Linked DNA regions of Pelodiscus sinensis. The protein of the gene in region 2 interacts with the protein of the main gene of each other region in a biochemical or structural test. Links are inferred from orthologs where the notes say so. Each region holds a gene or a part of one and is shown on either strand. Other genes may lie near its edges.

Region 1 (6,949 bases), on a different chromosome or scaffold from region 2:
CTTTTAAAGAGTTAATTGGCATTCACTGTCTAACGAAATACAATATTACTCAACATGCCTTAAAGATTCCATCTACCCTAGCCTTGCCCAAAACATTTCTACAACTGGTTTAATTGCCGGTACATCCACAGAACTTATTTTCCGAGCTAAATCTACTACTTAAGGGTTTGCCCATATGATTTTTTTTCTTTTTAGTTTCAGGAATTCTTTCCTCAGATATTAACAGATGCAACACGCTCTCTCCTACGCACACCTTTTAAAAAGTAAAATTTGGTTACGTTAACCAGTGGTTCAAGATTTTTCAAAAGTTACACTATTCAGCTAGTAGGAATGGATCTAGCTTTAAGGAAACCTCCTGTCTGCACAAACGCTTAAAGACAAACAGAGGGAGATCGAGCACAATGTGAAAATGGTTGAAATAAAAAGGCCCATTTAACAACCGTCCCTCCAATCTCACCACTCCCACCGCCAAAAACGGGGGACAAAGTTAACGTTAATTTTAGGGGCCAACAATCCAATCTTAGCTAACAAAACAGGCAAACTGATCATCCGCACCGATTAATATGCAGATAATTGCAATCTAGTGCATTTCAGCTCTCACCATCCACACCCCTTCTATTTTCCCCTGCAACCGAAGGGGGCGGGCACGATAATATAATCACAGGTTTGAAATGCAAAAAACAAAAACAAAAACCCGAAGTCGGGGCTTTTTGCAACTCCCAAACAATACGGACAGACCCTGCGATTCCGAAAAGATAAACAGCAACAAGAAGCCACATCAGACATCTTTGTGCACTAGAGACTTAACCATTTGCAGAGCGCGCACGCACAAACACACAATGAACCACGTTTTCCACAAGGCAGAATTTAAACACAGAGAAGAAAACAACTCACGCTAGTTTTTTTTAAAAGCAACCGCAGAACTTCACTTCTAGGTATAAACAGAGCTTCTAATGTATTGATTTCTTTATCTTTAAATCCCTAGTCCTTCCAATGTGTCAGTCCGTGCGTCCATCTCCATATCCCCCCCCCCACACACACACACACACACGCCAAGTTGTATAGATCTATACAAAGTAATTAGGAGATTAAGTGATCTTCGTATGCTGACTATAATCCTTTTACATCTGAGCATCCCAAGAAGGGAAAGCCACGCTAGGTAAAAACAAAACACAGTATCTGCTTGTTTACTGAAATTCTTTCAGTGATAAGGTATTAACACCTGATTTTTTTTAAAAAAGGCATTCAGTTACTAAAGTCACTGTTCCCCTATAAACAGTCAAAGCATGCATTTCTGGGCCTTGCAATGTTGACCGAGCACCTTACAAGTCTTGGGAGTTTAAAATCTAACTATCTGGGGGAAATCTGGAGAGGCTTACAGAAATTAACACAGAAGACAAGATTATGGGGTAAGGGCAGGAAACAAGTGGACCTATTACTCTTCAGAAACAGGAGAGTGTCTAACCTCTGGTAAACGAATTTCCAAGCCAAGCACCGCAAGTGAGTTGAGAGGAAAGAGCAGCCTGAACTCAAGGTATTAAATGTGCTTAAGGGGCAGCTTCAGTAACAGGCAAACGCACGCAGCCTTTGAAACTCAAAAGTCACCGCAGTGCAAAACAAGCGCGCCCACCACCACCCCGTTTCCCTGCACCCCGCAGGTTTCAATGAAACGCCAAATACTCACTTTCTCCATTTGTTGGCCACAGACAAAGCGTGGCGAAGAAGAGCAGAAATAAGGTCAGGGACCCTCCTCCAGCGCCAGACTTCATTCCTTTTTTTTAAAATTATGGACAAGATCCCCTTTTCCCAAAAAAAAGTCCAAAATTTCTTCCCCTCCACTCACACACCAGCTCTATTAAGGGGGGGGAGCTTGGGAGAGAGGGGGAAAAAAATCACCCCGCTCCTCCCACGCGCAGACACAAAAACACCCTCCCCTGGGTTTGCAAATTCAAAGGTGTTTCTCCCCCTCGCGGAGGTGCTTCCGGAGCAGCTACGCACGGACAACAATAACCACGCCGGGCTGGGGCTCCCCCAGGACGAGCGATACTTGGGGGGCGCTGAGCAACACTCCCCCCTCAGCGCTGCCTGCAGGGATGCAAGGGGCACCGGAGTAACCAACACGAAGCACGTTGGGGCTGGCAGTCTGTATCTTCAGCCTCCATTTTCAAACCCCACAAAGACGCAGCAAACACACGCACAAAACCGGATGGGAAAAGCGGGGGGGGGGGCAAAGCAAGCTGATGGGGGAAGGGGCAATAAAGCTTCCCAAGACAGTTGATTCCCCTCAGCAGAGAGCAGAGGCTGCTCCCAAGGGAATCCCCCCTTGCAGCGCCCCCCAGCACAAAAGTAAGTCGGAGGGGGACCGAAAGACCCTAAAAAATGCGGGAGAAAAATGAATGAAAAGGCTTCCCCAGCTTCACAGCGCTGCTGCTGCCCCAGGCTCCTTCCAAAAAAACAACCTCCCCCCACACACACGCACACACACAGACACACAAATCCAGAACACACAAAGCGGTCGCGGGGAGAGCTGAGCAGCTCAACACTTCTCCTCCTCCACCTCTTGCTGCTGCTGCTCTCCTCGCATCCCTGCTAGCTGCTGCTTCTCCATGCCACAAACATCCAAACACAACTGACGCTCGTGTGTGCGCGCTGCAAACCTTCCCCCCTTCTTGTCCAGCCCAAGACAGGGGCGGGAGGGGGGAATGCTGCTAGGAAAAAGGGGGGGGAATCCGGTTTGCTGAAGGTCAAAGCCCAGGAGCTGGTTGCAAAGGGTCCGTAATTCCTCCAAGGGGGGGGGGGGGAGGTGGCGAAGGAGGCCCTGCTGCTGGGGGTTTAAGGCTGTCGCTGTTGGCGGCGGGGCTGGCCGGGTCTCCCCCCCTCGCCGCTCCTCCTCGCTCGCTCCCTTGCACGGTGCGGAGTTAATGCTGGTAAACAAGAGGCGCCCGCTGCTGCTGCTGCTGCTGCACTGGCACTGGGGGGCTCGCGCGCACGCACGCGCTCCCGGGGCTCCTCGCGCGCAGCAGCGGCGGGCAGGAGGAGGAGGAGTAGGCGCGAGGCAAAAAGAGGAGCGAGGAATCGTCGGCGCCGTCCGGAACGGAGCCCAGGCGGCGGAGACAAGAGCAGAGCGCGCGGCCCCTGCCGCCCTCGCCCATGGGCTGACCGCGCGCTGCTGCTGCTGCAGCTGCAGCCGGGCCCCAGTGCACGGGGCTGCGCGCGCCCAGCCCCTCTAGGTCTGCCCCGTGCAAAGTGCACGTAAGGCTGCAACAACTCCTCTGCGCGCACGCACCCATGCCTTGGTCTCGTGCATCCCGCTGTCGTGCAAGGAGGAATAGCATTGGGTCTGACTGGCATGGCACTAGCTCAGTGGGCCGGTGTTTTTGTTTTGCAGAGGTTGCCAGCTTCTGCTCTGGAATCTGATGATTTTTTTTTCGGGAGGGCGGGGCGGAGGCGAAGCTGGAGGGAAGTCCTCATGGCTGCAAGGAAAACCTTCGAGACGTGAACAGAGTGTAAACCAACGCATTGATGTCTTTGTGTCTGCCAGGCCTTCCAGCAGCCCTGCAGGCTCACTCCTGCGTCCAAAGCAATACCTAGTCGCCTTACACAAGCAAACATGCATACGGACGAGGTTGGCTCCGGTGATCAGCTTCAATAAGGGAGATTAGTTAAAAAAATGTTAAAATGAAGATTTCATTGAGCAAGTAGATTTAAAAAAAAATCTTTCATCAAGAGAAAGAAAATGTTTAAAAACTGGTCCTTAATTAAGGCATCCAAGCCATCCAGGGCAACCCTGTGGACTTTTACTCCTCTACACCCTTTTACTTTGCTCTTTTGCCATACCAGCTAAAATGCCTGATCTCTTAATAACACACAAACTGATGGTAAAATTGAAAATAATTCCATTATAAATCAAAGAATCATTGAACCGTAGAACTGAAAGAGACCTCATAAGGTTATCAAGTCCAGCCCCCTGCTCTAGGCAGGACCAATCCCAACTAAATCAACCCCACCAGGGCTTTGTCAAGCCGAGACTTAAACACCTCTTGGGATGGAGACACCACTACTTCCCTAGCTAACCCATTCCATTGTTTCACTACCCTCCTAGTGAAATAGTTTTTCCTAATATCCACCCTGGACCTCTCCCACCACAACTTGAGACCATTGCTCCTTGTTCTACCAAGTCATTACAGAGAACAGCCTCTCTCCCATCCTCTTTGGAACCTCCCTTCAGGAAGTTGAAGGCTGCTATCAAATCCCCCCTCACTCTTCGCTTCTGCAGACTAAACAGACCCAAGTCCCTCAGCCTCTCCTCATAAGTCATATGCTCCAGCCCCCTAATCATTTTGGTTGCCCTCCTCTGGACCCTCTCCAATGCATCCACATCCTTTTTGTAGTGGGGGCCCAGAACTGGACACAATACTCCAGATGTGGCCTCACCAGAGCCGAATAAAGGGGAATAATTACTTCTCTGGTTCTGCTGGCAATGTTCCTCTTAATGCAACCTAATATGCCATTAGCCTTCTTGGCTACAAGGGCACACTGTTGACTCATATCCAGCTTCTCATCCACTGTAACCCCCAAGTCCTTTTCTGCAGAACTGCTACTTAAGTGGCTGGTCCCCAGCTTGTAACAATGCTTGGGATTCTTCCCTCCCAAGTGCAGGACTCTGCACTTGTCCTTTTGAACCTCATCAGATTTCTTGTGGCCCAATCCTCCAATTTGTCTAAGTCACTCTGAACCCTATCTCTGCCCTCAAGCATATCTGCCTCTCCCCCTAGCTTAGTGTCATCTGCAAACTTGCTGAGGGTGCAATCCATCCCCTCATCCATTAATAAAGATATTGAACAAAACTGGTCCTAGAACTGAACCTTGAGGCGCTCCACTAGAAACCGACCGCCATCCTGACATGGAGCCGTTGATCACTACCCACTGGGCCCAGCAGTCTAGCCATCTTTCTATCCATCTTACTGTCCATTTATCCAATCCACATTCCCTTAACTTGCTGGCAAGAATATTGTGGGAGACCATATCAAAAGCCTTGCTAAAGTCAAGGTATATCACATCCACTGACTTTCCCACGTCCCACAGAGCCAGTTACCTCATCATAGAAGCTAATCAGATTGGTCAGGCACGACTTTCCCTTTGTGAATCCATGCTGACTATTCTTAATCACTTTCCTCTCTTCCAAGTGTTTCAAAATGGATTCCTTAAGGATCCCTTCCATGATTTTTCCAGGAACCCGAAGTAAGACTGACCGGCCTATAGTTCCCTGGATCATCCTTCTTCCCTTTTTTGAAGATGGGCACTACATTTGTCTTTTTCCAGTCATCCGGGATTTTTCCCAATCTCCATGACTTTTCAAAGATAATGGCCAAAGGCTCCTCAATGACATTTGCCAACTCCCTCAGTACCCTCAGATGCATTAAGTCCGGACCCATGGATTTGTGTACGTTTAGCTCTTCTTTACCCACCAAGGGCCGTTACAGGACTGCTTGGGAATAGTGACCATAATATAATAACATTCAACATTCCTGTGGTGGGAAGAACACCTCAGCAGTCCAGCACCCTGGCATTTAATTTCAAAAAGGGGAATTACGCAAAAATGGGGAGGTTAGTTAAACAGAAATTAAAAGGCACAGTGACTAGAGCCAAATCCCTGAAAGCTGCATGGAAACCTTTTAAAGACACCATAATAGAGGCCCAACTTAAATGTATACCCCAAATTAAAAAACATAGCAAGAGACCTAAAAAAGAGTCACCGTGGCTTAACCACCATGTAAAAGAAGCAGTGAGGGACAAAAAGGTATCTTTTAAGAAGTGGAAGTCCAATCCTAGTGAGATAAATAGAAAGGAACATAAACACTGTCCAATCAAGTGTAAACATGTAATAAGAAAAGCAAAAAAAGATTTTGAGGAACAGCTAGCCAAAAACTCAAAAAGAAATAACAAAATGTTTTTTAAGTACATTGGAAGCAGGAAGCCTGCTAAAAAACCTGTGGGTCCCCTAGATGATCGAGCTATAAAAGGAGCAATCAAGGACGATAAAGCCATTGCGGAGAAACTAAATGATTTCTTTGCTTCAGTCTTCACTGCTGAGGACGTTGGGGAGATTCCTGAATCTGCACCGTCCTTTGTGGGTGATGAATCTGAGGAACTGTCCCAGATTGAAATGTCATTAGAGGAGGTTTTGGAACAAATACAAAAAACTTAATGTTAACAAATCTCCGGGACCGGATGGCATTCATCCAAGGGTTCTAAAAGAACTTAAAATGGGAAATTGCTGAGCTATTATCTGTGGTTTGTAACCTATCCTTTAAATCGGCTTCCATACCTAATGACTGGAAGGTAGCCAACGTGACACCAATATTTAAAAAGGGCTCTAGAGGCGATCCTGGCAATTACAGACCGGTAAGTCTAACTTCAGTACCGGGCAAATTAGTCGAAACAATAGTAAAGAATAAAATTGTGAAGCATGTAGAAGAACATAATTTGTTGGACAAAAGTCAACATGGTTTCTGTAAAGGGAAATCCTGTCTTACTAATCTGTTAGAGTTCTTTGAAGGGGTTAACAAACATGCGGACAAGGGGGATCCGGTAGATATAGTATACTTGGATTTTCAGAAAGCCTTTGACAAGGTCCCTCACCAAAGGCTCTTGTGTAAATTACATGGCCATGGGATAAGAGGGAAGGTCCTTTCTTGGATTGAGAACTGGTTAAAAGACAGGAAACAAAGGGTAGGAATAAATGGTAAATGTTCAGATTGGAGAGGGGTAACTAGTGGTGTACCCCAAGGGTCAGTCCTGGGACCAATCCTTTTCAACTTACTCATAAATGATCTGGAGAAAGGGGTAAGCAGTGAGGTAGTAAAGTTTGCAGATGATACAAAACTGTTTAGGATAGTCAAGACAGAAGCAGACTGTGAGGGACTCCAAGAAGATCTCACCAAACTGA
Region 2 (7,970 bases):
GCTCTCCTGTTTGTAACTTATACTCTTAGTTTTGCTTCACATGTCTACATGCCTTTGTCCTTCCTACCTCAAAGCACTGCAACGAGCTATCCTCCAAAGACGGCTTCATACCGTAAAGACACACAAAAGCTGTCAGCGTTGCAGCTGTCATCCAACACACTTGTTCCACCACCTTTCAGTCACTTCCTTTATGCTACTTGTACAGTTACGCACATTTTAAGCGCAGAGTGAAATGTGGGGCTAATGTGTCCTCTGTGCCATCCCCTCACACGGCCCCCAAGATATCCCTTTAAGAAAGTTGCACTCATAATCCACACTATGGAGAAAGCAACTTTTAGGCTATAAGGCTCTGCAGATCAGCCACTTTCAACATGCTTTTCAGGAAGAGCAACCAATGCTTTGCTTAACAAATTAGCAATAATCTATGCATTTGAAAATCATTGTAGTACATAGTATTAGTCAATCAGGCTGAAGAAATTCAAGATAGAGGCCTCCTCCTAACAGAAACCTGAGCAAATTTACAGTAGACAATTTATAGAGCGAGTTAAGTAGAAGCATAATGTTTAAAGCTTACTACTTGACACTTTCCTGGCCTTTCAAAGGATCTCAAACAATTTCTAAAAAGTAAGTTTCTAGCTCCACTTCACAGATTGGGAAACTGAAGTACAGAGAAGGGAAGCGACATGCCCAACATCACAGTTCAAGTCAGAGGCTGAAGTGGGAACAGAACCAAATTCTCCGTCAAATTCTCTAATCACTCCTCTCACAGTTTTAAATTAGTTTGGTTACTGTAGCGGGTGGCTCTCGTCGCCACGTCGCCTTTTAGGTCACTGCCCTCTGGCAGTGACAACCATAGCCTCTAAGCTTTCCCCTTCCGGGGGACTGATGGGTTTGTGATAGGCCGGTAGGCCCTCAGGAGGCGGCTCCTCAGCCCCCAGGCGCAGCGGGAGATGCGCCTGCCTCCCTGCATTACTGCGCCTTAAATTAATAGGCGAGTCTCTCCCGGCCTTCCTTCAGGTCCGGGCCACAGTCAGTCTAGTATTGCACAGGTCAGGGCCTGGCACCCAGTCTAGTCCGGCCCCTTTGAGGGGTTCTGCCCGACGCACGGTCGGTCTCAGCCGCACCGTAGGTAAACCCGTGCCCTTGAGCAGGGCGGGCCCCCAAACATAGTCTATTAGGCCAGGCCCTCAAGTTGGGCGGCCCAGCTAACCCCACACCCGTCGGAGCCCCTCGTTGCGGAGCAGGCCCGGGAGGGCGTCGGCAGCCGCGGTGAGGGGGGAGACTGTCACCCGGTTCAGGGTGGCAGGGGGGGCGCAGGCCCACCCACCTCATTGCACCCCGGCCCAGGGGCCCTGAATGCAGCCGGGCGGCTGCGCCTGGCTCAGCAGGGCTCCGGCCCATAACTTGCTGGCCGCGGGCGGCTCCCCGCCCGGCTACCCCCTGGGCCACTTCTCGTCTCTCCCTTCCCTGGTACCTGTAGCTCCGGCAGGCCCGTCGTGGAGTCGAGGTCGGTGTTGTCCCAGCAGGGTCCAGGCGGCCCAATCCAGGGGTCAAGGGGTCGGAGCTCTGTAGCATCCCGCGGGCTCGTCCGGCCCCGGCGTTCCAGTACCCATTGGGGGTCCAGCCGGTCTAGTGGTTCGGGACAGTCCTCTGGGTCCTCGGGTTGCTCTGCTGGCTGGCGTGGCAAGGCCTCAGTAGTCCCGGCAGGGAAGCCTTGGCGGGCCTCCAGGGAGGCGGCTGAGGACGGCCTAGCCCAGGTCTTAGCCTCCCCAGACAGGAGCTCTGGACCGGCCTCCGGCTCCCTCGGAGGCTGGGCCCTGACTGAGCTCCCAGGCAGCCTTCTTATAGTCCTAGTCCCGCCCTTTGACTTCTGGTCAGGTGAGGGGGCGGGGCTAGGCTGGGCCCAAAATGGCTCCCAGAGGGGTTCCTCCGCCTCCGGCTCAGTGGGTGGCCATTCCACCCCACTACAGTTACCTTAGCAAGGACTCCTCAGAGAAGACAAGTGCTATACCTCTGAATATAGAAAATACTCTCAGAATGTTCAGACTGAGGGAGGAAAACCAAGAAGAATGTCTCAGCGGAATGGTAAAGATGGGTAGAGGATTACAAGCAAAGATTTAGAAGTCTCCAGGTTCCAGATGGGTCACACGGGAGAGATATCCTCAAGACAGTATTTAGGGTCCTAGTGTAGAACCCAGAGTACGTAGGTGTTTCAATGAGGACTCCGATTCAAGATTCATTACATGCAATGAAAGAGCATCTCTACAACACCAAACGGCCAAAAGGACAATGAGAGACGAGCAATCAGATGCAGGATCAGCACTACACAGCTGAAATAACTTCTCACAAGGGAACTAAATAAGAACCCCAAAAGTGAGAAAAGTTGCAAGGTGAGTGGGGAGGGTGAGAAGAAACTACATCATTGAGTTGTGAACTCACAAAAGGACCCTATTTATCATTCACCTGAGTGATTCACCAGACAAATCCACTAGCTCTACTCAGTAAAACCCACCTTCTGAGCTCCACTGAGAGGAGCACATAGCTATTAGGATTAGATTTGCAAGACAGTCTAGAGAACCAGTCATTAAAAGATGGAGCTACATCTGTCTCTTTCTTATGCATGCCTGTGTTAACACTGAACATAACCTGCAGTGCTAAGACATTTCTTTTCATGTAGTAGAAACCTTGAAGTTGTACCCATGCTGTGGCTGAAACTGTCAAAGCTATAAATGCGCTTAAAACTTACTACTAATAGATATTATTTTAAGCAGAGAATTTGAGTATCTGAGGGAAATTGGTGAAGTGCCCAAGAATACTAGCCTACCACATCTAAGATTACAAATCACACAGCAGGCTGCTTTAGGGCAGCTCCTTGGGGATTTCTTAAGGACCACGATAACATCTTCAAGTTTTGGTACAAAAATGGAAGTTGATTACTCAGTGAAAAGAAAGGAGCTGAAACACTGTATGAAGACAGTGACAAACCAACAGAAAACACAATGCCCATAGAACAGGGGTGTCCAAACTTTTTTCAAAGAGGGCCAGATTTGATGAAGTGAACATGCGCGAGGGCCGACCATTTTGCCTGACATTCTTTGAACCATTAACATTAAATGCAAATTAACTATTTTATGCAAAGTTTATTGCAAACGGCACACTTTTCATTTCGTCACATGGATGACAAATCTAAACAGGTGTTAAATCACTCTGCCTTTCATATCTGAAGGCCAGATGAAAAAAAAATCCAGGAAGCTGAAGTATATGTCAGGAACATTGTAAAGTACATTACATATTATTGGTAATAAAGGTTGTCTGTCAACTTTTAAGTTCAAAAAATATGAACAGGAACATAACACCAAGTATACATGTTGTGTCCAAATATATTTATAACTGATTTAGACCAACTGACATTAACTGAGATTTTACAATGTATTCATCTCAATACATATGGATTCGTTGGGGGCCATAAAAGATAGATATTGCCAAATTACCTGGGGGGCCGTATTAAACCGGAACACGGGCCGCAATTGGCCCGCGGGCCGGACTTTGGACATGCCTGCCATAGAAGCACACAGCAAAAACTATTTGCCTCCTGCACCACAGCTGACTTGATCACTTGCCTGGGATGGCTTCTGATGCAAGACAGCGGTATATGCAGAGCTCCTCTTAAAAAGGGGGTCATATTTCCTTTCTTGATATTTTCCCTTAATCAATTTCAAAGAGGTATTCCATATTTTAAAGTGCATGTTATACAAATTTATGTATAATATTGTAGAACGTATAAAATTTCTGTTTACCCTGTTCTCCAATCCCTTTCATCAAGAGCAAGTTATCAAACAGCAGCCAAAATCCTGTCTCAAATAAAGAGGGGATAGGAAGGCAGACAATGGCATGGTTTTCAGGTCCAGTACCTCAGTATAGCACCCGCCAGCATCAGAAGCTCTCCAGCAAATAAATAAAAATGCTTTCAAAGCAAATAAACTTGGACAAGCACTCGTTATGGGCCAATTATCAGAAAGAAACAATGTCTGATTTTTTTCCTCATAAGATTTTTACAACAACATTTTCTCAATCTATTATGAAATCCCTCCTTTCCCAATCTCCCCAACAGATCAATACAGGAGAACTTTAGAGGCACCAGAATTTTGACTCCATAAACAGGAATATTTCCACTAATGTCATCATTACAATCTTCCTGTTAGATCACTAGTGCATCGCTTCACACTCCCAACTTCAGAATGCACAGACTACACCCCAAGACATCAATACCTGTATTTGTGCTCCCAGCTACTAAAAATAGAATTCCATCCCCAAGGACACGAGTGGCCGTATTCACCATCTTGTTCCCAGGATGGGACAAGAACAACACACCAGTGTTGACATTTCAAGTTCCCAGTCCTTGTAGACAGTCTAGGATCATGATCCAGATGCATTAGAAGAACTAATATGATTATTCCATCACTCCTGAGGCTGCAGTGATTACAACAGTTTTCTACACTTAAGGTTCCCCCTTTGCCCCAAGCTAATAGTCAATAGTCTTTTCTGCCACAGCAGTGGCAAAGAGTTAACATGCCTAGCACACAAATAATGCTACAGCAAGCAAGGAGGGGGATAGGCAGCAAGGTTGCGGGGCAGAGGAGAGGAGAGGAATGAGGTGTTGAGGCTTGTCTGCATGGGGAAATTTACTAGCATATTTTACTGTGCTACCTCTAATTATACTGTTTTAACTCCCTCTGTAGACACGCTTATTCCAGAATAAGAGTGTGCACACAGGGAGTTATGCCAGTATAATTATCCTGGCTAATTTCCCTGTGAAGACAAGCCCTTAGTTTAATAGTTCCTGATGGCTGATTCATCTGTATTTTTAAACTTTGCTCACTAGCTGAGAAATGCATTCCCTCCTCCCCTTTGCAAGTTATTTCCTATTTTAAGCTTGGAAGGAGGAACAGTCCTCAAATCCTCAACAACTGAACAAAGTTTAAATCAATAACTGAAATAATCTGTCAACTAATATTGGATAATTACATGTATGATGTGAACTATAGGAGTTCCCCCCCACCCCATATACTCCAAACACAAACTCAGCTAACCTGCTGAAAAGCACTCAAGGACTCTGGCTGCTCCTATCCCGCAGGTCAAACACACCTGTACATTTGCTAGAAGTCACAACTCTTCAGACACTCTATGGCGGCATTATCCAAATGCCAGCAAATAAACCTCTCTCAGATTCCCACACTGCCCTGAGTGCCAAAGGTACACATTACACAACCAAGGGAAGCTACCCACAATCAAACCTCTTCAAAGGATGAAGAATGTTGTGTGCCACTGTAATGTGCAAACAGCTAAACACATTCTTCATAGACTAGGTTACTGAAACAATACAGATTTCCACATATACAGGAACTCAAACAGTTCAAGAGCCAGACCAATCAGTCACTAAAGTATTGACAAGGAAGAAAGGAAATATTTATTTTAATTAATTTATGAATAGCCTGCAATAGGGCAATTTCCCTGCTGTATTTCCTGTTCAGACTTCTGAAATAGAATAATGTAATCAGACTAACTGCAAAATGGAAGTTGGAGTCACTTGGTTATAAGTAAAAGTGCTTTAATCTAAAGCAAGCATCTCCCTACCTAATGGAAGAGAAGGGAGGGGGAAGGGCAGCCCTAGAAGATGAAATGTATTTGCCAGTGGGAGTTTGTTCCTGCTCATTATCATTTGTCTGAGCTGAGCTAACTGTCACGGACAAACAGATCCTGGGGCCCTGGTGGAGTCCTCATCACTGGAAGAGATCAGCCCACAGATTTAGGTTATTGCTGTCTCATATTCATACAGCTACTGAGATTCTACACACTCCACTGGAGAAAGAACAGAGACCAGGGGAGAAACCTCTGAATGACAACATACCTCCAAACCAGTTATTAAGGAATTGAAGAAAAAAAAAAAAAAAAGATCTACGTAACACACTGCTAGGCCCCAAGTATTTGAGCAAGTCCTTCATATCTATAGACCACTGGAGACTGACCAAATGGTTTCTGCTCTTCATTCCGAAGTCCTGCGCCACTCAATTTGGGGACAGGGACTTCCAAAGAAAAGGCCCGTGAATATATGACGCTTTGTCTGGAGATTCTCTCTGTTGGGACTCTTCAGCGCTCATTGCAAGACTTCACTGTACTTCTGTGACTACACTTACTTCCTGTTTGTTCCTTTACTATTATTTCCCTCCTTGCCCACGTGACAGACTGCTGTATCTGGGCTGACCTCCATCTTGATTTAAAGTTTAAAAAAAAAAAAAAACATAAAAAAACCACACAGTGCAGTGTGTTCCAGAAGAGAGCTTTTCAAAAAGTTAAAAATACAGCCCAACTTGGTGGGAAAGTTTTCCAGTGACACCCACCAGAGAGTGTGTGGCTGGAGTTAAGTCAATGGGGTGATCCTCAGCAAATTCTCTACAGCTGATCCAGAAACTCACAATGTTTAATCTCTCAGGAAGCACAGGGCAGAACTGAAGGAGTGGTTTCCTCCTAATACAAACAGCAATAGGTGGAGCAGGATTTTAAAAGTGCTTCACAAGCACCCGGACTTTTTCATCAGTGGAGTAAATAAGCAGCCTTGACAAAAGAGCCTCCCGGCAGCTATGGAGCAATAAATGACAAAAATGGCTGAATTCCAGACAACATCACTCAAAATTGGAAACTGCCTGCAACACAGACCTGTTGCATAGTTATTTTCCACCCATCCAGAATCTGTTTCAACAATGACCTAACAGTACTGCAACACAACTGAGAGAAACAGAGAGCCTCCTCCAGAAAGACTTTTCCCAACTGTCAAAACAAACACTGATCTGAGCACACTGACGGTTCACCATTCCCTTGGCACCTGCCAGCCGGCATTACGACAACCCACAATTGCAAAAGGAGTTGTAGCCAATTGCAACCTGCATTTCAGACTCCCACGGAGGGAGTTTAGTGCTTAAAACAGACGGATGGACGGGGAGTCAAGACTCCTGGCATCTATTCCAAATCCTGTCAGTTTCTATCTAACAAACTTGATGGGCTGGTGTAAAAGGCCCTAGATAAAAAACAAAATATTGTTATACCTTCACTGAGCCCAAAACTTGGTAAAATCTATTGGAAAAAAAACAACCCAGCTGTAAAGGTATGTCATAACATACATGGCTGCAACACCACCAGTGAATGGCCAAAGCAAGTTAGGGATGTTAAATATTGGTTAAATGAATAGTCGATTAACAATGAATTCTTATCAGTTACTCGACTATTCTATAGTCCCAGGGGGAGGGACCGGCAGCCAGTGCACTCCAGCCCCAGTCCTGAAGCGCCCCCTGCCACTCTGCGCTGCTGCCTCTATATCTGGGGTGCCAGGCAGGAGCTGGTCCGTGAGGGGAGCCAGTTTAAAAAACAGCTCCCCTTGCAGACTGGCTGCCCATGCTGTCCTGACAGAGGCAGAAGTGCAGGGTGGCAGCAACCCCTGTCCAGGGAATGGGAGGGCTGAGCTCCCAGATGTGTCGTGAGCCAGAACTGAACCGGGCTGCCTGCCCGCCTGGCTCCTAATGCACTTCAAATGCGGAGCCAAGGTAGGGGTAGGTCCTGGACCCGGCGCGAGCCAGATTGCTGGACAGCCTGCTAAAAAGTTTACTGGAGGGGGGGGGGGGGGAACATGTGCAGTCTATAGCACTGACCAATAAACTTTTGCTTATCAGTTAATCAACTACACTATTACATCCCTAAAGCAAATCACACGGATTTTTAAATTCAGCCTTCCATATTTTGAAGGAGACTGACATGCTTGCATCCTCAAGTCAGAAGTTAGTGCTTTGTTCATCCAGTAGCTTCCCTAACAGTGAGCTGACTTCCTCCTAAAGATCAAATATACAAATTTAACCAACCTGGGCAAAGAACTAACACAGGAGTTAAATAACAACCGCACACTTATACTGCACCATTTAAAG

Evidence for each region.
Region 1: the proteins of ARHGEF12 (region 2) and IGF1R form a complex in vitro, tested with the Homo sapiens proteins (2 studies listed by BioGRID and IntAct, with this or other methods). The link is inferred for Pelodiscus sinensis from reciprocal best matches to the Homo sapiens genes ARHGEF12 and IGF1R.

Annotation. Positions count from the first base shown.
Region 1 is NC_134724.1:8,748,069-8,755,017, reverse strand, and holds the start of IGF1R (insulin-like growth factor 1 receptor), read right to left. Parts: upstream 3,035-6,949; 5' UTR 1,770-3,034; coding exon 1,685-1,769; intron 1-1,684. UniProt on the Homo sapiens protein: Receptor tyrosine kinase which mediates actions of insulin-like growth factor 1 (IGF1). Binds IGF1 with high affinity and IGF2 and insulin (INS) with a lower affinity. The activated IGF1R is involved in cell growth and survival control.
Region 2 is NC_134736.1:4,763,548-4,771,517, forward strand, and holds the start of ARHGEF12 (rho guanine nucleotide exchange factor 12), read right to left. Parts: upstream 3,045-7,970; 5' UTR 1,576-3,044; coding exon 1,475-1,575; intron 1-1,474. UniProt on the Homo sapiens protein: May play a role in the regulation of RhoA GTPase by guanine nucleotide-binding alpha-12 (GNA12) and alpha-13 (GNA13). Acts as guanine nucleotide exchange factor (GEF) for RhoA GTPase and may act as GTPase-activating protein (GAP) for GNA12 and GNA13.